Elephas maximus indicus: one gene and its partner. Each later gene encodes a partner of the first gene's protein in a complex. Links are inferred from orthologs where the notes say so. Each region holds a gene or a part of one and is shown in the gene's direction. Other genes may lie near its edges.

What was found.
Region 2: the proteins of SART3 (region 1) and USP15 are in contact, whole or in part, in a crystal structure (PDB 5JJW), measured with the Homo sapiens proteins. The link is inferred for Elephas maximus indicus from reciprocal best matches to the Homo sapiens genes SART3 and USP15. Residues at the interface, in NP_055521.1 of Homo sapiens: Ser438, Ser439, Lys440, Glu443, Gln490, Arg493, Glu494, Trp496, Asp497, Met500, Thr501, Ala505, Trp511, Tyr514, Arg533, Cys537; in NP_001239007.1 of Homo sapiens: Ser23, Leu24, Asp48, Trp50, Gly121, Met122, Phe123, Val124, Lys125, His126, Lys128.

The regions. Positions count from the first base shown.
Region 1 is NC_064840.1:19,108,203-19,119,152, reverse strand, and holds the start of SART3 (squamous cell carcinoma antigen recognized by T-cells 3), read left to right. Parts: upstream 1-6,236; 5' UTR 6,237-6,247; coding exon 6,248-6,574; intron 6,575-10,950. Other genes in the region: iron-sulfur cluster assembly enzyme ISCU, read right to left, coding at 927-1,037, 2,485-2,598, 4,328-4,441. UniProt on the Homo sapiens protein: U6 snRNP-binding protein that functions as a recycling factor of the splicing machinery. Promotes the initial reassembly of U4 and U6 snRNPs following their ejection from the spliceosome during its maturation.
Region 2 is NC_064822.1:122,511,244-122,522,195, forward strand, and holds the start of USP15 (ubiquitin carboxyl-terminal hydrolase 15), read left to right. Parts: upstream 1-5,405; 5' UTR 5,406-5,462; coding exon 5,463-5,551; intron 5,552-10,952. UniProt on the Homo sapiens protein: Hydrolase that removes conjugated ubiquitin from target proteins and regulates various pathways such as the TGF-beta receptor signaling, NF-kappa-B and RNF41/NRDP1-PRKN pathways.

The DNA.
Region 1 (10,950 bases):
CTGGAGCATGGTTCTCATTTGTTTGTTCACCGTGCCCTCACCGTTGCTGTACTTCTAATTCTTTAATGCCCTTTTAACACAGGCTTTTTATTTCATGAATGCTTCCAAGACCCCTGGAATCCTTCCTGAAACATGGAAGGACAAAACAAACAAGGAAACAGACTGCTCCCTGATGTCGGATCCAATACCTCCTTGTAAGAAATTGTCAGAACGTAAGCAACCTGAGAGAAGGCCAAAGATTTCTTTTCAGTTCAAATGAAGTAGTAAAGACCTTTTTTTCTATTTAAGTAAAACAAAACAAACCCAAACAAACAAAAATGATTGCGATGGACTGAATCCCCCATCCCTGCAATACGTGTTGTAAATCCTAACCTCTGTGCCTGTGGTTATAATCCCATTTGGGACGGGCTGTCTTTGGTATGTTAATGAGGGATGATGAGCGTAGGGTGTGTCTCTAGTCAATCTATCTTGAGATACAAAAGATTAAACAAAGTAAAAGAAGCAGAGATGGGGGAAGAGACATGCCAAGCCTCACCCAGGAGCAAGACCTCAGAAGAGACAAGGACCTCCCCCAGAGCCAACAGAGACAGAAAGTCTGCCCCTAGAGCTGGCACTCCGACTTCAGACTTCTAGCCTCCTAAACCACGAGAAAATAAACTTCTGTTTGTTAAAGCAACCCACTTGTGGTGTTTCTGTTATAGTAGCACTAGATAAAGAAGACAACGATCAAGAACCGAAAATAAAAAAAAAACACTTAACAAAACGATCCATAAACTCAATACGGTGGTGAATTTAACCAAATTCTGGGTAGAAGAAACTAAGAAAAAAAAAAAAAATTAGAATTTTTTGTTTCACTTGACCCTTCGATGACAGCCAAGTGTCTGGAGACTGTGAGTTAATTCTGCGAAACCTGCGAGCGACCTTACCGTTTTCCCTTTCACCCACTCAGTGGCTAATGAGCTGGAGGCGATCGCAGAACCACAGCCAAATGTTTTAAACCTGGCGTCCACAATCTTCCCCTTTTCATCCACTTGGATCTACAAGAGAGACAAGAGCTAGGCAGCGAATCCCGGTGCTGTCCTTCCAAACCTACGAAGCTGGGACTCACATGGGGCTTACCGGGGCTCTCCGCAAGAGCTTTGGTCTTGCTTTCTACACTTTAATTTTTGGCATTTAATTGCTGAGCTTGCTTTATTTCAAAGAGCTCAGTGATGAGAAGTTAAATGTAGAAAATTATACCACAGCTCTACAGGTCTAGCTGGTAAAGATCTGCTGAAAAATACATGCCTCCCGCCCTTTTTTTTTCCCCCAATCCTAGGCTGCTTTTTTTCTTTTTTTTAAAAGCTCTGGTGGCACACTGCTTAAGAGCTCGGCTGCTAACCAAAAGGTCACAGCAGTTCAAATCCACCAGCTGCTCCTTAGAAACTCTACGGGGCAGTTCTACTCTGTCCTATAGGGTGGCTATGAGTTGGAATTGACTTGACGCCAATGGGTATGCTATGGTATGGTACAGGTAGTCTGCTTTTTGGCTATGCAGTTCTATTTGAGGAAGTCTGTTTATGGCGTCAGGGCCAATCTGCCTCCTTAAACGCAGGAGGGCATGCAATAGAGCTCTCTGGTTAATGCTTTTTCCTTTGGCACAAACTGCATTTAGTGGGTCCTTCCTGCCTTGTTTCTGTTTCCCAAGATAAGCATGGAAACCTCTGGGAGGCTGCCCACACCCCATGATGAAGAACATTGTGGATAAGGCTATAGTTTACCCAGTGCGCCAGCCACTACCTTCATTTTGCCTCCAGTTTGGGGAGAGATTTGATTTATTGTGTTTCTTGTCTTACTGAAGTTTGCTAGCTAAACAGTTGTGGTTTTCCTTCGATCAGTAAAATTTACAACACTTTTTACTTAGCAGAAGATGAAATTCGAGCTGATACAGGGAGCAGAGCTGTGAGATCACTATTTCAGAAAGGCTGGGCAGAGTGTAACAGCAGGAGAACTAGGATTTAGTCCCTGCTAATAATTTTTTTTTTTTAATAATTAGTAGAAAAAAAAATTTTTTTTTCTACTAATTATTTAACATGGACTCATCCCGCCTCATAGGAATAAAGATGGCGACCACACAAAACGCTGTACGTGCAAATGCTTTGTAAACTCCGCAGCACCATATAAGCAAAGTTGCTGTTGTTGTCAGTTGCTGTGCAGTGGGGTCAAACTCATGGCCACCTTATGTATAAGAGAATGAAGTATTGCCCGGTCCTGTGCTACCTTCAGAAACCCTGGGGGCGTAGTGGTTAAGTGCTATGGCTGCTAACCAAAGGGTCGGCAGTTTGAATCCACCAGGCGCTCCTCGGAAACTCTATGGGGCGGTTCTACTCTGTCCTGTAGGGTCGCCATGAGTCGGAATCGACTGGACGGCACTGGGTTTGGTTTGGTGCTATCTTCAAAGGGGTTACTGCTACCACCGTGAGAGACGAAGAAAACCCGTCCTACCTGTAATTTCATTACATCACCACAAGCTGGAGCCCCTACCAGTCCAGTTCCGACATTTTTAGACGTCTTGTCGAGGGACCCCACATTTCTAGGATTTTCATAATGATCAACAACCTGAAATGAGAAGGGTAAGAGAAATCAAGACCACTCTCTTTTTGGTACCGGTCCCCTCAACTTGACTGTCAGCTCCTCCAAGTCAGTGACCGAATCTTACCAGCCCATGTTCTCTGAGCCTGGCATAGGGCCTGCAACCGGAAGCTGGCAGGCAATCAGCAAACACCAAGAGTCACCTGGGGAGAAAGGCCTACATTCGTGTCAGTGAGAACCATTTGTTATCCAAAACCTTTTTGTATCTCCTCTCCAACTACCTTCAGACACTGTTTGAGATCCTGGAGAAAAATCAGCTAAATTATGTCTTAGTCCCAGGAGGTTTTTAGTCACAAACCAAGTCACGAGACTTGGGCTCACACAGCATTTCTATTATTTCCAAATAAAGTCAATTTTCAAAAGATAATGATCTAAAAAAAAAAAAGGTTACTATAAACAAATTCTTAAAATAATTACGAAAGCATTCCCAGAAGGTTCAAGATGACTCTTGTCGAAAGAAGAATGCTATGGAATGTGGCCATCTATGTACGATTTTTTAAAAAATAAAGTCTCATTACTGTATTTCATGGCCCTGAAATAACACTGGTTCAGCAGCGCGCCCTAGTGGCTGAAAGGCTGCTAGCCCAAGTTCAGTCACCATGGGCTGTCAACAAAACCTCTCCCTGGGTCTAGGAGAGTGCCCTAGCCCTTGACAAACGTGGTGAAGCCAGAACAGTATAAATACCCATTCAGTCCGACACAGTAGGCTTTAGTAATCTTGAGGCTTGTTTCCCAGCTAGCACAGCAGTAACTATCCTGATCTTCCAGTCTCCTCCCCTTTGCCTATACAACCACTGATTTTGACTCTAAGCCCAAGGACCCACAAGATAAAATCCACTCTGGACTTCTGCCCCATGTTGATTTCCAGCGATCTTTAGTTGTTTCCCGAGCAGAAGAGTCTCATCTTTAGGGGACGTTAAGCTTCCAGAAGGCAAGGGCTGCAATCTACGCACGCACACCACCCCCCAACAGAAAAAAACAAAGACAAGGACATTGTGACTGATTGTTGGTCATGTGCCTGACTCCACTACGAGGCTATGGGCTCCACAAGCAGATAGATCTTGGTCATCGCTGTGAGGTCCGCCATAGCGCTTGAGATCATTTTATTAAAATACTAATAGCAGCAGCATCATCGATGGTCTCCGTGTGTTGGGCCTATGTGCCAGGTACCATGCAGAGAACTCTACACGCATTCTCTCTTGTAGGAAGGGACTGCTAAGATTCCCAACTTACAAATGAAAAGAATGAGGTCCAGCGAGGGGCAGTGACTTGCCCAAGGTCACTTAGCCAGGGCAGTGGCCTGGCTGAAGAGGAGCTCGTGCCCTAGCGTCAGGCTGACAAGTCATAACAGGTCCAAGAACTCAGAAGAGTCCTGTTAGGGAAGTTTAAGGGCTGTGACGCACAAAATAGCAACGAGCAGTAAGGCCCTTTGGAAGTCGCCACTCGACAAGCAGCGGCTATTACTTTTATTTCCATTGCGAAACGAGAGAAAGTTAGTTGAGGCAAAGGTGTGGGAGGAGACAGTCCCTCCACCCAGGGCCGGGGGATCCCCGGACCTCGGGCTGCAGGAAGCTCCAGGCCGCGCAGTCCCCCGGTCGCCGGCCCCAACCCGATCCTCCCCCACGCCTCCGGACACCTTCGTCTCCTCGGCGATCCTCGCCCGTTCGTCCCCCGCGCACCCTATGCTTGCCCCTACCTTCTTGTGATAAAGCCGGGCCGGGGCCGACAGCTCCCGGGGTGGCAGGCGAGGACTCCGGAGCAGCAGGGCCGACGCCGCCCGGCGCAGCCGACCCGCTCCAGCCGCCGCCATCTTGCGGGGTCGCGCCTGCGCCAGCCAAGAGCGAGGCCGGGGGCGTGGCTCGCCCTGCAGCGAGCGACGGGCTTCGCTTAGGGCGCGCCCCCTCTTACGTCACCGCGCCTTCGCGCCTGCGCCCTTCGGCCCCGTGCGGTTCGTGCTTTGTCCCCACCTTGACCACACCTCTCCGGGGGCTGGCGGGGCTGGGAGCGGGAAGGTCCAAGTACCACGAAAGCGAGTCCTAGGTGCTGCGTTCTGGATGGGAAAGGACCTAAAGCTGGGGTGAGGGACCCGACTTAATGCAGCACACAAGGTCACCCAGTCCGCTCTCTCATCCTTTTTTGCAGCTAAGGACGCTGAGGTTCGAGCGGTTTAATAACTTGTCTGAGGTCGCTTAGAGTTAGGTACAATTGGGATTCGAACAACCCTGGGTTAGAGTCCTGATTTTGCCCCTTCCTGGTTGTCACCCTGGAAACCCTGGTGGCGTAGTGGTTAAGTGCTACGGATGCTAATCAAAGGGCCGGCAGTTCGAATCCACCAGGCGCTCTTCGGTTCTGCTCTGTCTTATAGGGTCCCTATGAGTCAGAATCGACTCGACGGCACTGGGTCTGGTTTTTTTGGTTTTTGGTTGTCACCCTAGACGAATGACATCAGCTCTCTAAGCGTCTCTTTTTTTTTTTTTTTTTTGCATTAATTCAAATAAAATTGTTTCGCCCATTCAGCAAATATGTATTGAGCACCTCCTACTTGTCAAGGCGTTATACTAGTCTCTGGCGAGCCAACGAAAAGCAAAACAAATGTAATTTCTGTCCCAACTAAGCTTACTAACGAGGGAGAAAGGCAATAAAGAAACAATAGTTTCCTAGCTCAAAAATGGGAGTTTAAGGAGGAAATGAACACCATGCCCTGAATTAAAAAAGTATATACCTATTTAAAAATATTCTTTATCTATTTCTCTCTATACAACAGTAAACTATCAAAATTTATATGGTAATACTTGACAGTTAAGAGTTTCTAAATAAATGCTTAGGAAATAATTCATATTGATTTGCAGAATATCTTATAAAACCGGAAAACTCATGTGTGCGTTTAACACCTACTAGGCACCGGTCCTATCAGGTGCCAGCCGGAAACCCTGGTGGTGTAGTGGCTAAGTGCTATCTATGGCTGCTAACCATAAGGTCTGCAGTTCGAATCCACCAGGTGTTCTTCGGGAACTTTATGGGGCAGTTCTATTCTGTCCTCTAGGGTCGCTGTGAGTCAGAATCCACTCGGTAAAGGGCTTGGTTTTGGATTAGGCACCAGTCCTTACATAATGAGAGGAATCTCTTTGGGAAATGAATTTTTCTCATAAATAGCGCAATCGATCCTTCTCCAAGGACTTGGAGTTTTCACTACGTTTGTGTCTCGGTTGCTGAGGTGACTGAACCACGCGCCAGGTCACAAGAGGCATTAATGCATATATTCGAGGAGTCCCTTTGACCTTCTCAAAATGGCGTCAAAACCTTAACTACAGTCATCACGCTCATTTCATGACTTCCTCTATGCCCTCCACTTCCTGCCCAAAGACCCAACTTCTGTCCGAAGTTGTGGCGGAATATATGCCATGTTAAAGAATTGTTTTTCTGACAGGATCTTTTACAAATATGTAAAGTTAATATGAATGGCGTGTATTTAGAGATTTTCCCATCATCCGAAGCTCGCAGTTTCCCATTCGGTGGCCAGAGGGCGGGGTTTTGATCAGGCGTGCGCCGCGGGCAGCTTGTACTTCAGCCAGTCTTCGGCGGCGGAACGAAGGACCCAAGTCACTGGAGACTCAAGATGGCGACGGCAGCTGCATCCTCCGCTTCAGAGCCGGAGGCTGAGCCCAAGACTGCGCCCAAAGTTGGGCCCAAGGCCGAGGGAGACGAGGATGAGCTTAAGGAAACCAGGACGAGGAGGAAGGTGTTATCGCGGGCTGTGGCTGCTGCGTCGTACAAGACGGTGGGGCCAGCGTGGGATCCGCAGGAGGAAGGCGTGAGTGAGAGCGATGGAGATGAAGAGTACGCCATGGCTTCTTCAGCGGAGAGCTCCCCGGGGGAGTACGAGTGGGAGTACGACGAAGAGGAGGAGAAAAACCAGCTGGAGATCGAGCGGCTGGAGGAGCAGGTGGGCGCCGGGGTGGGCAGCGGGCTCCCTCCGCCTCCAGGCCCTAGCCCGCTCCTCTGCCCCTTGGAGCAGAGATGCTGCCCTGATCCTCAGCGGCAGTAAAGCCTCCAAGGCCGCAGAACCGTTACTTAACATTGCAATTTCCATTATTTGAGCGCTCGCTGCGTGCCCAGCGCTTTGCAAGCATTATTCCATTGAATACTCGCAGCGAACCAGTGAAGGCAGTAGCGTTGTCCCCGTTTCGTGGGAGGACACTGAGGCTCGTGGAGGGGAGTCTCTGGCTCAAGATTACACGTTCTGCAAGTAGCGAGTCAGGCTTTGAGCTTCGAACCGACTCCAGGACTCCCACTAACCACACAGTTAAACTACATCTAGCAGTAAAGTAAATTTTAATTGTAAGAGCACTATTTGTCTGTAGGAATGACGACGATGATGAAATATGTTGTAGTCGAATAAATATTGATCCGACGATGAAAATAGGAATGGAAAGATAGAGGCTACTCAGTTGGAGGCTCAAACCCCCGTTGTAGCTGTTCCACACCTGTATGTGCTTGGGCGAATTTCCTAAATTCTCTGATCCTTTGCTTTCTCATTTGTAAATTAAGAGCAGTGTTCTTGCATCATAAAATGGTCATAACAGTAATGTTAGCCCTGTGCCTAGCACCCACGAGGAACATGACCTCTAATGTGTAAAACAACCTTGTGAGATGTAGGTGGTGGTATCTTTTGGATAAGCCAGGATCCCAGCAGGAAATAGATGGTGCATTCAAATTAGGATAATTTAAGAAAAGGTTCATAAAGGGACTACTGTGTTTGTAAAGGCAAGTAAGAAGCAAAGGTTTAGTATTCCACAGTTGGTAACAACAGGACTTGGTGTCCACCTTTAGGCCTGAAGTAGTGTGAATAGTTGTGTGGGGTTGGCATCTGAGAGGAGCTGAGACCTTTGGTCAAAGGGTGCAGCCAGCGGTTTCCCAGTAGGGGAAGGAAGCAAGTGGAAGAAGAAAAACTCTTTTTATCTCCCTCACTTCCTCCAGATCTCTGCTAGTCTCCCACTGAGCAAACCCAACTGAAGGCCAGAGAGCCCAGTTGATGTGGATCACACAGGAAGGCACAGGGCAGGGAGGGGAGAGGAGGGTGGTGTGGAGTTGGAGGGGCAAACTGAAGAGATTGAGCACATTCTCATTTTACAGATGAGGAAAGGAAAGAGGCTCAGAACAAAAGATGAAATGATTTGCCTAGAGTCACTCACAGTGGGATTTGAACTCTTAAAGGTTGCCTGTGGACCAGATGCCACGTTGCATGTCCTGCTGGCACTGTTTTTAAGTTATGAGATAACGTCATGCGTTGGTATAACTTGTTGCATTTGTCATAGAATCTGATTTTTGAAGGAACCAGTTGGGATAGACAGGTGGTTACCATTTTTCTTTTATAAGTAAGTATGCTGAAGTTCATTCAGTCTTTTATTCATTCAGCAAGTACGGTGTGATACCTGCCAGACTGACTGTGTCCCTGTCTGTATGGAAATCAGTTCTTCATATTTCTAGCCTTAGGTCTTTTGATGAGCCATTAGCTCACTTTGACCTTAATGTTTTATGAGGTAGGGAAACTAGAATCATCTGTTTTAGTAGGAAGAGGAGGCTTGGAACCAGAGAGATGAAGTCCTTAATGAAAGTACATAGTTTACTTACTAAGGAGAAGGAGGCGACAGGATGGAGGTCGGCATGAAGGTCTCCTGGCTACTATACAATTGCCTGTCCTGCCTCGGGTCACCGAGGATGGGTGGGATAGAGCTCAGAAGGTGACCACATAGGATGGGACCTGGCAAGCGATGGTGAGCTGAAGGACTTCTGGCCTTATCCTCTTTGTCCTGAGGTCTAGAAATTGACTTTTCCAATTTTTCCAGACCTCCTTCCTAACCTCCTCCTAACCCCGCAGTCTGTAGTTCCTGCTGTAACTGTCCTTATGATGGAGCGTAACGATAAGTAACTTTCCAACAGGCCTGTGGAAACCTGGCCCTGCCATTTTTGGAAGCTCGGAACACATCCACATGTGTTTATTTCCTTCTTTTTGCTTGTTTAGGATTGTTTTGTTCTTTTCTAGTTTCTCGATGCAGGAACCTAGATTATTGATTGAGACCTCCCCTCTTTCCTAGAATGAGCATTTAAGTCTATAAATTTCCGTCTCAGCGCTGCTTTAGTTGCATCCCACTTGTCTTGCTGTGTTCTGTTTTCATGTCCATTCAGTTCTAAATATTTTTTAAAAAACATTTCTTTGAGACTTCGTGTTTGATCCATATTGTTTAGAAGTGTATTCTTAATTCCAAATGTTTAGAGGTTTTTCTGTTGGCTTTGCAATTGATACCTAGTTTGATTCTCTTGTGGTCAGAAAGCATACTCTGTATGATTTCAGTTTTTTTAGATTTGTTGAGGTTTCTGTTTCGGCCCAAGAGAGGGTAAATGTTCCGTGGAGACTTGAGAAGGTATGTTGTGCTACCGTTGGCTGAGGTGTTGTGTGTGTGTCAGTTAGGTCCTGTCGGTCGATGATATTGTTGAGCTCTCCTGTGTCCTCGATGGTTTCCTTTATAGTAGTTGTGTCAGTTGCCAGGAGTCCCTGGGTGGTGTAAACAGTCAATGTGCTTGGCCGCTAACTAAAACGTGGGAGGTTGGAGTCCACCCAGAGGGGCCTTGGGGGAAAGCCCTGGCGAGCTACTTCCAAAAAATCAGTCATTGAAAATCCCGTGGAGCAGAGTTCTACCCTGACACACGTGGGGTTGCCATGGATTGCAGTCAGCTCGGTGGCAGTTGGTGCTGGAATCGCTTGCTGAGAGGAGGGTGTCGAAGTCTTCAGATATGATTGTGAGTGTGTTTATTTCTCCTCTCAGCTCTGTCGGTTTTTGCTTCATGTATTTTGAAGCTCTGTGGCTCTGTTGTGTACGGTCGCCATTGGTTTTTTTTTGGTTGGCGCATACATGTTTAGGATCGATGGGTCTTTTTGGTGAGTTGATCCTTTTATTATTATGTAAGGTTTCTTTTTGTCTCTAGTAATTTTCTTTGCTCTGAAGTCCACTCTATGTAATATTAATATAGCCGTTTCTGCTTTTTTTGGATTAGTATTTGCTTGGTGTATCTTTTTCTATGCTTTTTTTCAACCTACCTATATCGTTGGATTCGAAGTGAGTTTCTTCTGATTAGCGTGTAGTTGGGTCATGTTTTTTATCCACTTTACCGTTCTCTGCCTTTTAATTAGTGTGTTTAGACCATCTACATTTCAGGTAATATCCAAATGTCAGGCCTTAAACCATTTTATTTGTTTTCTATTTATTTCCCCTGTTTCTCATTCTTTTTTTCTTTTCTTGCCTTCCTGTGCATTATGTCAACATTTTTTAGGCTTCCATCTTGATTCATTTATAGTACCTCTGAAGTTTTTACTTTGTATAGTTTTTTGGGTGTTACAGTATATATATTTCACTTACCACAATCTGCTGGCGTCAACCACTTCGAGTGAGGTACAGAAACCCAACTTGGCTTTGGATCCCTTTACCTTCCCCATTTTTAAATATCATTGTCTGCGTATCAGATGATCTTATAATTTTTGCTTTAGTTATTCCTTATGGTCATCTTTTGTGCTTACTCATATTTCATCTCTTTCCATTGATCCTCCTCCTTTCCTAGTGCTTGACGGTTTCTTATTTTATCATTTCTTTTAGCTGTTCTTTAAGAAGTCTGCTAGTTTTCTGTTTCAGGTATGTAATTGCTTTTTGTGTGTGGAGTAAATAAATATACATGTAACAAAACATTTGACTTTGCAACAGTCTTCACGTGTGCAGTTCAGTGCCGTTATGTTCCTTATTTTGTTCAACCATCGCCCTTAATGTGTCCCCAGGTTACACCATCGCCCTTAACAGAGCTCGGTGTTCCCTAAGCATTTCGTCCCTTTTTCCGCCTTCCTTCCTCCCACCCTTGGTAGCTACTGATAAACTTTGGTTTCTAGACACTTGGTTATTCTTGATATTTCATATAAGTGGCATCATAACTGTATGCGCCCTTTTGTGACTGACTTATTTCACTCAGCATGATGCTTTCAGGGTTCATCCTTGGTACAGTTAGCTTTTTAAAAAATTATTTTAACTGATTATAATATTTATTTTGAAAAGTTTGAAACATAAAAACAAGCTTTTGTAGACTTATCACTCAGCTTCAACAGATACCAACCTTGTGCCTTTCTTGTTTCTGCAGTAGTTTTCATCTCATTTGTTTGTTTAATAAAATGAGAGAGTTCTTGCTATGCCCCCGGCATTGTGCTAATAAGCAGCTTACAAAATTACCCTTTTTAATCCTCACAGAAAACTCATGCACTGGGAACTAGTAATATTCCCA
Region 2 (10,952 bases), on another chromosome or scaffold:
TGGTCCACCCCAGGCCAAAAAGGGGCTCCCATTTATGTTAACTAAGTCAAAGCCTTACTCTTTCCTGGACTATTTACCGTTGAAATCCCATCTCCAATTACTGAATACAAGATCCTCTCTTAAATGGTCTGTTTAAGTATCTGTGAACAGAGACTTATTTGGGAAGGTAAGGAATCTTCCCTAGAGAATCTCTGATTTTAAAACCTACTCTGCCTTTATGTAAAGTCCACCTTATTCGTATCAAGTCTAATTTCTAAGGTACTCCTTTTTTTTTTTTTTCCTCAAAGCCTTCAACTAAGTTTTAAACAGACAAGGAAGGTGCAAAGGGTCTAAGAAGGCAATATAATCACCAAGAAAGACGGACATTCTTATGAAGTTAATTAAGGAAAGCATCAATAAAGACATGTAATCTAAAAAATCAGATGTAACCCTGGTTTATACGTAGTAGCCTATGTGAATCAAGGTAAAGTAGCTTTTCTCATAAACAGTCTACTTAGCTATTCAGAAAGATATGGACCTTAACTAATTTAGTATTTACAAACATTATCTTATTTTTCTTCATAATTATCTTTGAGAGTAGAAGAACTATAAACAAAGTAGAATTTTTATAAATTAGTAAACTGGGGTCACTAAAAAGTTGACTGCTATAAACGAGATAGTAAAGATCAGTAGAAAAATACAAACTTACCCAATCTTTCTAGATTCTTGAGTGCAACTGCTTGGGTTCAAATTTGCATTCTGCCACTTGCTTTAATTCCTCATATATACAACGCAGATAATAATACTCCTTAGAGTTGCTCTGAGGATTAATACTTGTATTTAGGATGATGCTTGACACTCAATAAACAAACCAAAACAAACTAATGTCTTTGATCCAGTTGTGACCCATAGGGACGCCATGTGCATCAGAGTAGAACTGCACTCTATAGGGTTTTAATGGTTGATTTTTTGCCTCTGGGTCGACTTGAACCTCCAACTTTTTAGTTGGTAGCGGAGTGCATTAACCATTTTCACCACCCAGGGACTCCAAGATGGGTATTATTATCCCAAAGTCTATGATTCAACTAAGAGTTAAGTGCTTTGCAGCCAGAGGCTGAAATGAGGTTTGAACTCAGATTCCTGTGATTCCAAAGAAGTCTTTCCAAACCATGTTGCTTCTCTTGAAAAATTCTTTGTTCTCATTCAGAGGTTGGGTAGAAAAGGGGAAAATTGTGGCCCTTTGAAGGTACCCATGGTTAGAGAAACTCTATTTTTTCAGTCTGTCAGAAGCCAAATAATATACGAAATAGCATTGATGGGAAGCTGTTATCAGACTCTCAAATCAAGGATGATGTAATTGTGAAACAGGATTATTACACAGAAAGTAAGCAATCAATGCTGATATAAACAAACCATGTCAGTATACACTCCTTTCACTTGGAATTGTTCAGCACTGGTTGCTGGCATAGCAACATCCATCTTTACTGCATTCCAACCAGATGAGTTTTCACTGGCTAATACTTTTCAGAAAGACTGCCAGGTCCTCCTTCCTAGTCTGTCTTAGTCTGTAAGCTCAGCTGAAACCTGTCCTCCATGGGTGACCCTGCTGGTATCCAAATACCGGTGGCATAGTTTCCAGCATCACAGCAACACACAAGCCCCCACAGTACGACAAGCTGACAGACACGTGGGGGGGGGGGGGTGGCGACTATACACATGGACCTCGCCAGATGGAGCATACAGAAATCAAATTGACTACATCTGTGGAAAGAGACAATGGAAAAGCTCAATATCATCAGTCAGAACAAGGCAAGGGGCCACTGTGGAACAGACCATCAATTGCTCATATGCAAGTTCAAGCTGAAACTGAAGAAAATCGGAGCAAGTCCACGAGAGCCAAAGTATGACCTTGGGTATATCCCACCTGAATTTAGAGACCATCTGAAGAATAGATTTGACGCGTTGAACACTGGTGACCGAAGACCAGATGAGTTGTGGAATGACATCATACATGAAGAAAGCAAGAGGTCATTGAAAAGACAGGAAAGAAAGAAAAGACCAAGAGGGATGTCGGAGGAGACTCTGAAACTTGCTTTGAAATGTCGAACAGCTAAAGCAAAAGGAAGACTTGATGAAGTAAAAGAACTGAACAGAAGATATCAAAGGGCAGCTCGAGAAGACAAAGTAAAATATTATAATGACATGTGCAAAGAGCTGGAGATGGAAAACCAAAAGGGAAGGACACGCTTGGTGTTTCTCAAGCTGAAAGAACTGAAGAAAAAATGCAGGACTTGAGTTGCAATAGTGAAGGATTCTATGGGGAAAATATTAAACAACCCAGGAAGCATCAAAAGAAGATGGAAGGAAGACACAGAGTCATTATACCAAAAAGAATTAGTCAATGTTCAACCATTTCAAGAGGTAGCATATGATCAGGAATCAATGGTACTGAAGGAAGAAGTACAAGCTGCTCTGAAGGCATTGGTGAAAAACAAGGCTCCAGGAATTGATGGAGTATCAATTGAGATGTTTCAACAAACAGATGCAGCACTGGAGGTACTCACTCATCCATGCCAAGAAATGTGGAAGAGAGCTTCCTGGCCAACTGACTGGAAAAGATCTATATTTATGCCTATTCCCAAGAAAGGTGATCCAACTGAATGTGGAAATTATAGAACAATATCATTAATAACATATGGAAGCAAAATTTTGCTGAAGATCACTCAAAAACAGCTGCAGCAGTATATAGATAGGGAACTGCCAGAAATTCAGGTGGGTTTCAGAAGAGAATGTGGAACCAGGGATATCATTGCTGATGTCATATGGATCCTGGCTGAAAGCAGAGAATACCAGAAGGATGTTTACCTGTGTTTTATTGACTATGCAAAGGCATTCGACTGTGTGGATCATAACAAATTATGGATAACATTGGGAAGAATGGGAATTCCAGAACACTTAATTGTGCTCATGAGGAATCTTTACATAGATCAAGAGGTAGTTGTTCAGACAGAACAAGGGGATACTGATTGGTTTAAAATCAGGAAAGGTGTGCATCAGGGTTGTATTCTTTCACCATACCTATTCAACCTGTATGCTGAGCAAATAATCCTAGAAGCTGGACTATATGAAGAAGAACGGGGCATCAGGATTGGAGGAAGACTCATTAACAACCTGCGTTATGCAGATGACACAACCTTGCTTGCTGAAAGTGAAGAAGACTTGAAGTACTTGCTAATGAAGATCAAAGACCACAGCCTTCAGTATGAATTGTACCTCAACATAAAGAAAACAAAACTCCTCACAACTGGACCAATGAGCAACATCATGATAAACGGAGAAAAGATTGAAATTGCAAGGATTTCATTTTACTTGGATCCACAATCAACAGCCATGGAAGCAGCAGTCAAGACATCAAAAGATGCATTGCATTGGGTAAATCTGCTACAAAGGACCTCTTTAAAGTATTGAAGAGTAAAGATGTCACCCTGAAGACTAAGGTGCACCTGACCCAAGCCACGGTATTTTCAATCACATCATACACATGTGAAAGCTGGATAATGAATAAGGAAGACAGAAGAAGAATTGATGGTTTTGAATTGTGGTGTTGGTGAAGAGTATTGAATATACCATGGACTGCCAAAAGAACGAACAAATCTGTCTTAGAAGAAGTACAACCAGAATGCTCCTTAGAAGCAAGGATGGCAAGACTGCATCTTACGTACTTTGGACATGTTGTCAGGCGGGATCAGTCTCTGGAGAAGGACATCATGCTTGGCAAAGTACAGGGTCAGTGGAAAAGAGGAAGACCCTCAACAAGGTGGATGGATACAGTGGCTCCAACAATGGGCTCAAGCATAATGATTGTGGGGATGGCGCAGGACCAGGCAGTGTTTCATTCTGTCGTGCACAGGGTCGCGATGAGTCGGAACTGACTCGACGGCACCTAACGACACCACCACCACCACCAGATGAGTTAGAAAACCAAAAACAAAGCCATTACCCTCCAGTGGATTCCTACTCATAGTGACCTTACAGTGGTTAAAACCAAAACCAAACCCATTACCATGGAGTTGATTCCAACTCATAGTGACCCTACAGGACAGAGTAGAACTGTCCCGTAGAGTTTCCAAGGAGTGCCTTGGAACTGCCAACCTTTTGGTTAGCAGCCCTAGGTCTTAACCACTATGGCTACCAGGGTTTCCACATAGTGGTTAGAGTAGGCATTAAAAATGGGAAAACAAGAGAGCATAGGGATGTTTTCCCATCTTTTAGACTTTTCACATCATTTTGCGTTGTCTTAACACCAAGTCTCTGGAACCTTTACTCTTTGAAATACTTAAGCAGTTTTGACAAAATTAATTAATTAAATAAATATTTAGATGGCTTTTATATGTTAGGAAACACTGTGCTAGCCACTAGGCATACAGAGGTAAAAAAGATGGACTCAGTTCCAACTCTTGTGGCGTTCCCATTTTAGTTCAGGCTTTCAATTACAAGAGGTAGTGAGTATGCTACATTTAAAAGCACATGGGCTTTGGACCCTAGGTTATAAACTTGTCTCTCCACTTACTAGCTGTGTGACCTTAGGTAAGACCCTTGATTTTTTGAGACTCAATTTCCTCATTTTTAGCATAATTGTAGCTTCAACTAATACTCAACTGCAATTACCATCCAGTTACATTTCAGGTGTACGTACCATGGGAAGATAATGGGAAAGGACTTTCCTTCCTTTTAGTACCTGGTATTTTTTTTATTACTCAATACATATTTTATTACTCAATACATATTTTACGCCCTGTTCACCGAGGAACTGGGACACGCTTTTCACTGCACTTTAGCTGTCTGGGTGTGCCCGGGGAGCCGTCACAAAGAGCCTATAAAAGGTCCCCACCTACACCAGCAGTAAGAGGGCTCTAGGAAGTCCACGATGAGCACTGCGTCCAAGCGTTCGGTTTCGGATTGTACTTTGGGCCAACACTCACCGAGCCTGGGTACCGCGACTCGCAATGAAAAGACAAGAGTCACACACTCGCTAAAATTTTCTGCCATATCTTAACCGTCCCCACGCCCCTCGTCCCCACCCCACCCTCAACAGTGAGCGAATGCGCAAATAAGGGTTTTCAGGCGTCTGTGGGAAAGAGGGAGGGGAAGGCAGAAGTCAAGCACAGACCGGGCCGTGGCATCGCTCAAGAGAGTGAGCGCCCGGCTCCCCACCGAGGAAAACCGGGGTCCGGCCCGGAGGAGGCCGCGGCCGGCACGAGATGCTGGAGAGGCGGGGGCCGATGGGGGGGAGCAGACCACGGTCACGCAACCAGTCCGCCCCGGGGACTTCCTCTTGTCCCGGGTGCATCGCTCCCACCCCCGGCCCTTTTGGTTTCGACCTGGCGGCTGGGAGGGGCCGCAGGACGCCATTCCCACAATGCTCTGGGGCGTGCCGCCGCCGCCGTCGCTGCCGCCGCCTCCGCTACCGCTAGTGGAAGAAGATGGCGGAAGGTGGAGCGGCGGATTTGGACACCCAGCGGTCTGACATCGCGACGCTACTCAAAACCTCGCTCCGGAAAGGGGACACTTGGTGAGAGAAGGAGGTTGAGGTGCCCGCGGTTTCCCGGGGATGGTGGGTAACTGGGCGGGAACTGCGGACTGGTGTCTTTCGCTAGTGACAGGTGCGGGTAGGTCCGGCGGCTGCCGCCCTGAGCAGCAGGATTTTGGCCGCTGCCGAAATTTGGGGGCAGAGGTTGGACTGGAGGTGAGGGTTAGGGTTCGTGGCCTGTTGGGGCGTGCTGAGAGATTTGTGGGGATCAGAGCGGCGGCTCATGCAGTTCTCTTCGTCCTCCTTCCTCCCATAGTGCCGCTCCCACCTCAGGCCTTTCCGAACCATAGGTTACAGTTGTTGGTTTTGAGTTCTTCAGTATGTTTGACAGGTCTGGGTCCCGCGGTTTGTTACGATCCCATCCGCTTTACTTCTCCAGTCATTTCCTTTCCGGGCATTGTCGGCATCCAAGTTGCCTCTTATTCTGATTCTCGCATTCTTCCGGGAGGCAGGCTGCAGGATGTTTGCGGTCCGTACTATACAGGTGGCATGTGTCAGGGCGCCAGTTAAGAGAAAGAAACCGTAGTTTGCAGTTCCTTGTCAAAAAGAGGGAGAGAAGTAGGGAACCTTAGGCTTTTGAGAGATACCACGTGGTCTTGTGCTTTAGTGGAGGCTTGATAAAAGCCGGCACCGTTTTTCTTGAAGTACAGCCCTTCTCTCCTGTTTCAGGGATAACATAAAACATAGGCCTGCAAAAAGTAGGTAAGTCTGTTTGCCGCTTAAGTAACTTGCTAGTTTGGAAACTTATAAAATACCAGAGGATATACACTTAAAATACTGAATGAAGTATGTGGAGATTTTAATTTTGATACTTGTCGGCCTTATCAGTTGATTTCCAGAATTAAATATGTGAATATGTGACATGAAGAGAAAGTACTCAGTTTATTAGGAGGGAAGGTGAAATCAAGTAGGCCTATTGTATGATTCGTGTGTAGTATTTAAAAATATTCCTGTATCACTTTACTGGAACAGCTAAGGAATATAATGTAGTTAGTGTAGCTTTTTATTATAAGAAAAAATTATTTCCACTTCCCACTGTCTCTGTAACTATGGTATGTAATTTACAAAGTGTTTTTTCAGATACTGTAATATAGCTTAATGGAAAGAGCATAGAATTTAGACCTGAGTTATGTCACAGTTGCAGTAATTAACTTGCAGTATAACTTTGGGGAAAGGTAATTTAAATTATTGCATTTCAGTATCTTCATCTATGAAATGGACAATAGTTTTTTTATAAGGGTTTTATCCTGATTCAATTAAATACTTAAAATAGATTTGATACTTAAGAAAAGTGTTAAATTTTAGTTGCCTTTTTATCTCCACCTTTTACTCCTAACAAAATGCTGTGATATTAGGGTTGGGACTTGAATTTAAATACTTTGATCTAAGTCCTGGTACTTTTTTCCTACTTTGTAGGCTGCGTACTGTGTTTATATGATAAAAATACCTGTGGGTGTCAACATATACTCGTTGCATTACAGCACAAAATATGACCTTTGAATAAATAATTGTTATTATTCACATTGGAGCATTCCTAACATGTTTATTTCTTTGGAGAAATTTGGCTACATATCCTAGGATAACCTGTATTTACTTTGGCCTGTGGGTTTTTAAAGATGAAATCAATCCTTGCTCTATTTGTTAAAGAACTTCTAAGAATTCTTAATTTATCTAGCCCATTACCCTGTGTAAAAACGTAAATGTGTATTTCCTTAAAATAGAAATATGTAAATTAAATTTTGGATTATTGTTTCTCTTTAGTCTTGTTATACTTTTGGTATACTGAGTAATCATTGGTATTGTTGGCCCTATAGGATGATAGGAGCTGTATCTATACTGTGGGCATTAAACTTTTTAAATCATGGTATTTTTCAAATAAATTTTTAATTCTGGTATTTTTCAAATAAATAATTTTTGCTTTTTGACAAAGTTATTGTAAATCATTTTAAAGAGTAAAATACAGGGGGTCCATAAGTTTGAGTCATTTGAATGTTTTCATTTTAAAGAAAACCGAAGCCCAGATATTTTAGGGAACAGCAGAAGGTACAAACTTTTATCTTCGCATTAATTTTTCTTCTCATTTAAAGGGAGGAAAATGAACTTGTATGAGCAAGGTGGTGCTGAGGAGTTGGAGAAATCTGTTTCGTTTATATGCGAGCCAGTTTGTTTTCCAAATTAGCCGATGAAACCTGTCTTGCTTCAAAATAGTGTAGTGTAAAAGTCTGATTGAGAGTTTGAAGGAGAATAGCTTGAGTAAAAATCCGACAGTGTATTTGTGAGCTCAGCACTGGTAAAGATACCTACAAATTTAGTTGTAACCTTTTAAGCTTTTTTTAACCTTAGTGTTAGTCTTTTCTGGGTGATTGGGTAAATCCTATCTGTTTTTATGTAGCTGAAATGGGCCATTTGTAAATGGAACATTGCCTTGGTGTATGAATATCACCATCTTTGAAAGATTGGGCTACTGAGAAAAAAATGGTAGATTTACCAGAAGTTTATTCTCAAAAGCTTAATTCAAATGTTTGAAGTTACAGTCAAATGAATTTTTAAAAATGTATTTCACAAGTTAGGCTGTGAGTGCTTTGTAGATAAGGGCTGTCTCATAGTAGTCTGGTAATTCTAACGCCTAGGCAGGTAATAAGATGTGTTTGGTTCTGGATGAATGCTAGAGTTTCTGTTTATTTGTAAACAATGAAAGATTTTTATCTGCAAACTGCTTACTTGTCTAGATGCAAAAATAAATAAGTCTGAAATGAAGAACAAACTTTATGATACATGTGGTACTAGACTTTAAAAAGTAAGTCATAGTTGATTAACAAGAGTAATACCTCTTAAAAGGTGAAGTAGAAAAGTGACACTGGTCTGCATCAGAAGGAGTAAAGATATAGTCTCATAATGTCATTTTTTATGTGCTTCAACTCCAAGGAGAGATTCAGAAAACTATAAACAACATTAAAAAATAGAATTTTGGACCTATATAGAAAAAATATATAAGGGAACTAAAATTGCCTTGCAAGGAGTGAAAGATAACTTCATCTTCAAGAACGTGGTTGTTTCTCCTGATAAGGCAGAAAGAAAATTTGTTTGTTACATTAAAAAAAAAAAAAAAAAAGCAACCTATTGCTGTCAAGCTGATTTCAGACTCATAGCTACCCTGTATGACCAAGTAGAATTGCCCCAAAGGGTTTCCAAAGTTGTAATCTTTACAGAAGCTGACTGCCACACCTTTTCTCCTGCAGAGCGGCTGTTGGGTTCAAACTGTTGACTTCTCGGTTAGCAGCCAAGCGCTAAACCATTGTGCCACCAAGGCCCCTCTTAAATTATATTACATGTAATTGCCTTAGAAATGGAGGAACCTATTTAAGGGTAGCTTTAGTTTTTTTTATGAGTCGGAATCCACCCAACAGCAACTAACAACAGAGTTCTATAAATGGAGTTCCTGGGTGCAGCAAATGGTTAACACATTCAGCTGCTAACTGAAAGTTTGGAGGTTTGAGTCTACCCACGGGCAGCTCAGAAGAAAGGCCTGGTGCTGTATTTCAAAAAAATTAGCCATTGAAAACCTTACGGAGTATGGCTCTACTCTGGCACACGTGGGTCTCCGTGAGTTGGAATCGACTGGAAGGCAAATGATTTTTGTAGTTAGATAAATGAGTTATAAGGAAAAGTTGTAAGTTGTGGCATGTTCTCTTTGGGTATTTCTTTTAAAATAGACCTTTTATGAGTAAATAAATAGGTAACTACAAATTATGAAAATCACTACTTCCTTTTCCCCATTTTTATTAAATGTTATTCATCTACCAGTCATTTTTGCTTATTTTTATGTGCAAGTATATTCAGTGGCAATGTGTAGCTAGCTTTATAAAGCAACTGAATCTAGCGTGTCAATTTTGTATAAACTAAGAACTTCAGTATTCTTAAGGTAAAATTGAAGAGTAACTTGTTTAGAGTCATTTAAAATGTATATGACACATTCGTTTCAGTAAATTGCCAAGGAAAATTCCATCTGATCAATTTGATTCTAGAAAAGAGACATTGATCTCAGTTTATGGAGTTTTCTATTATTCTTTTTCTTAGAAATATTTGAGGCTTTATTTGGTTCCTTATGTTAGTACAACTTTAATTGACACTAATAGAAAATAACCTTATAATCACAAATCAGCTAATAATCTAAAGGGACACTATTGATAATCATGATTGCCATCATGATTACCAACATGATTAGTATATACATAGTAATGAACTTTTTACATTACTGTTAAAGTTAATTTTAGTTATGCCAGGGAGTTTACCACAAAAATAGCCTAACACTGAGTATGTGTTATATCCATTTACAGAAAATGAAACTAGAAAGTGAAACTGTTTTTCAGTGTTGGTAAATTGGTGAAATAAGAGTGTATTTTTAACATTTTAATTGTTTAAAATCTAGAAAAACAATTTTAGGAAATTTTTTAATCAGTTCTGAGTTGTTAGTGAACCCAGGAATAATATAGCCTATTTGACCAAGAAAATCCTAACTTTATTTTTTCTTAATGATACCATTTTCCCATTAACACAAACAAGGTATTAAATAAATGGTCTTTTTAGAAAATGTTTTGTGACAGTTATTAATCTTGCTTGCACATAAGTATAATAAGAAAAAAAGATAGCTTGTCAGTCCATGACCTGTAACATTACTTGTACATTTAAAAACACTTGTATGCCAGGTGCTATTGTAAGCATTTTACATGTATTAACTTATTCATCACCACAATTCTAGGGGACGGGTGTTTTTATTCCATTTTTCCATTAGGAATCCTAGGCTCAGAAAAGTTAAGTCACTTCACTGTGTTCGTATAATCTTATACCTGGGATTTGAAAACGGGGAGTCTGAATCTTTAGTCCTTGCCCTTAAATTACTTTACTGTACTGCTTATTTTAAAGATGTATATATAAAAGTAGTTTTACTTTAAAAGAAAAATGAGTGGACATTTTTTCTTTTAGAAATGGAGTCTATTTTATGTTTAGCAGCATAATTCTACCATTTTATTCCCCACTCGTTTCTTGTGACTGTTCAGTTTAGATACGATAGAGTGTAGAAAATCTAGACATCTTGCTTCCAAAATTAAATATGTTTAAAAATTGATAGGTGACTAACTGAATACATAGGACAACAACAGCAAAAATGTACCAAAAGTACATTCAAACAGAAGAGTGAGATCATTTTCTGTTGAAATTTTGAATTTAATCCTTTATCAGTAATCATGAGCTATTTATTAGAAGTGATGTGGCCCCTTCTTAAATAGTTTTACAGCAGTAACGCATCGAGTAGGTAGTAAGAGCTTGCAGAATATTTTTTGTTAGTACTTTGCCAGTATTTTACCAGTAATGGTTTATAGTAAAC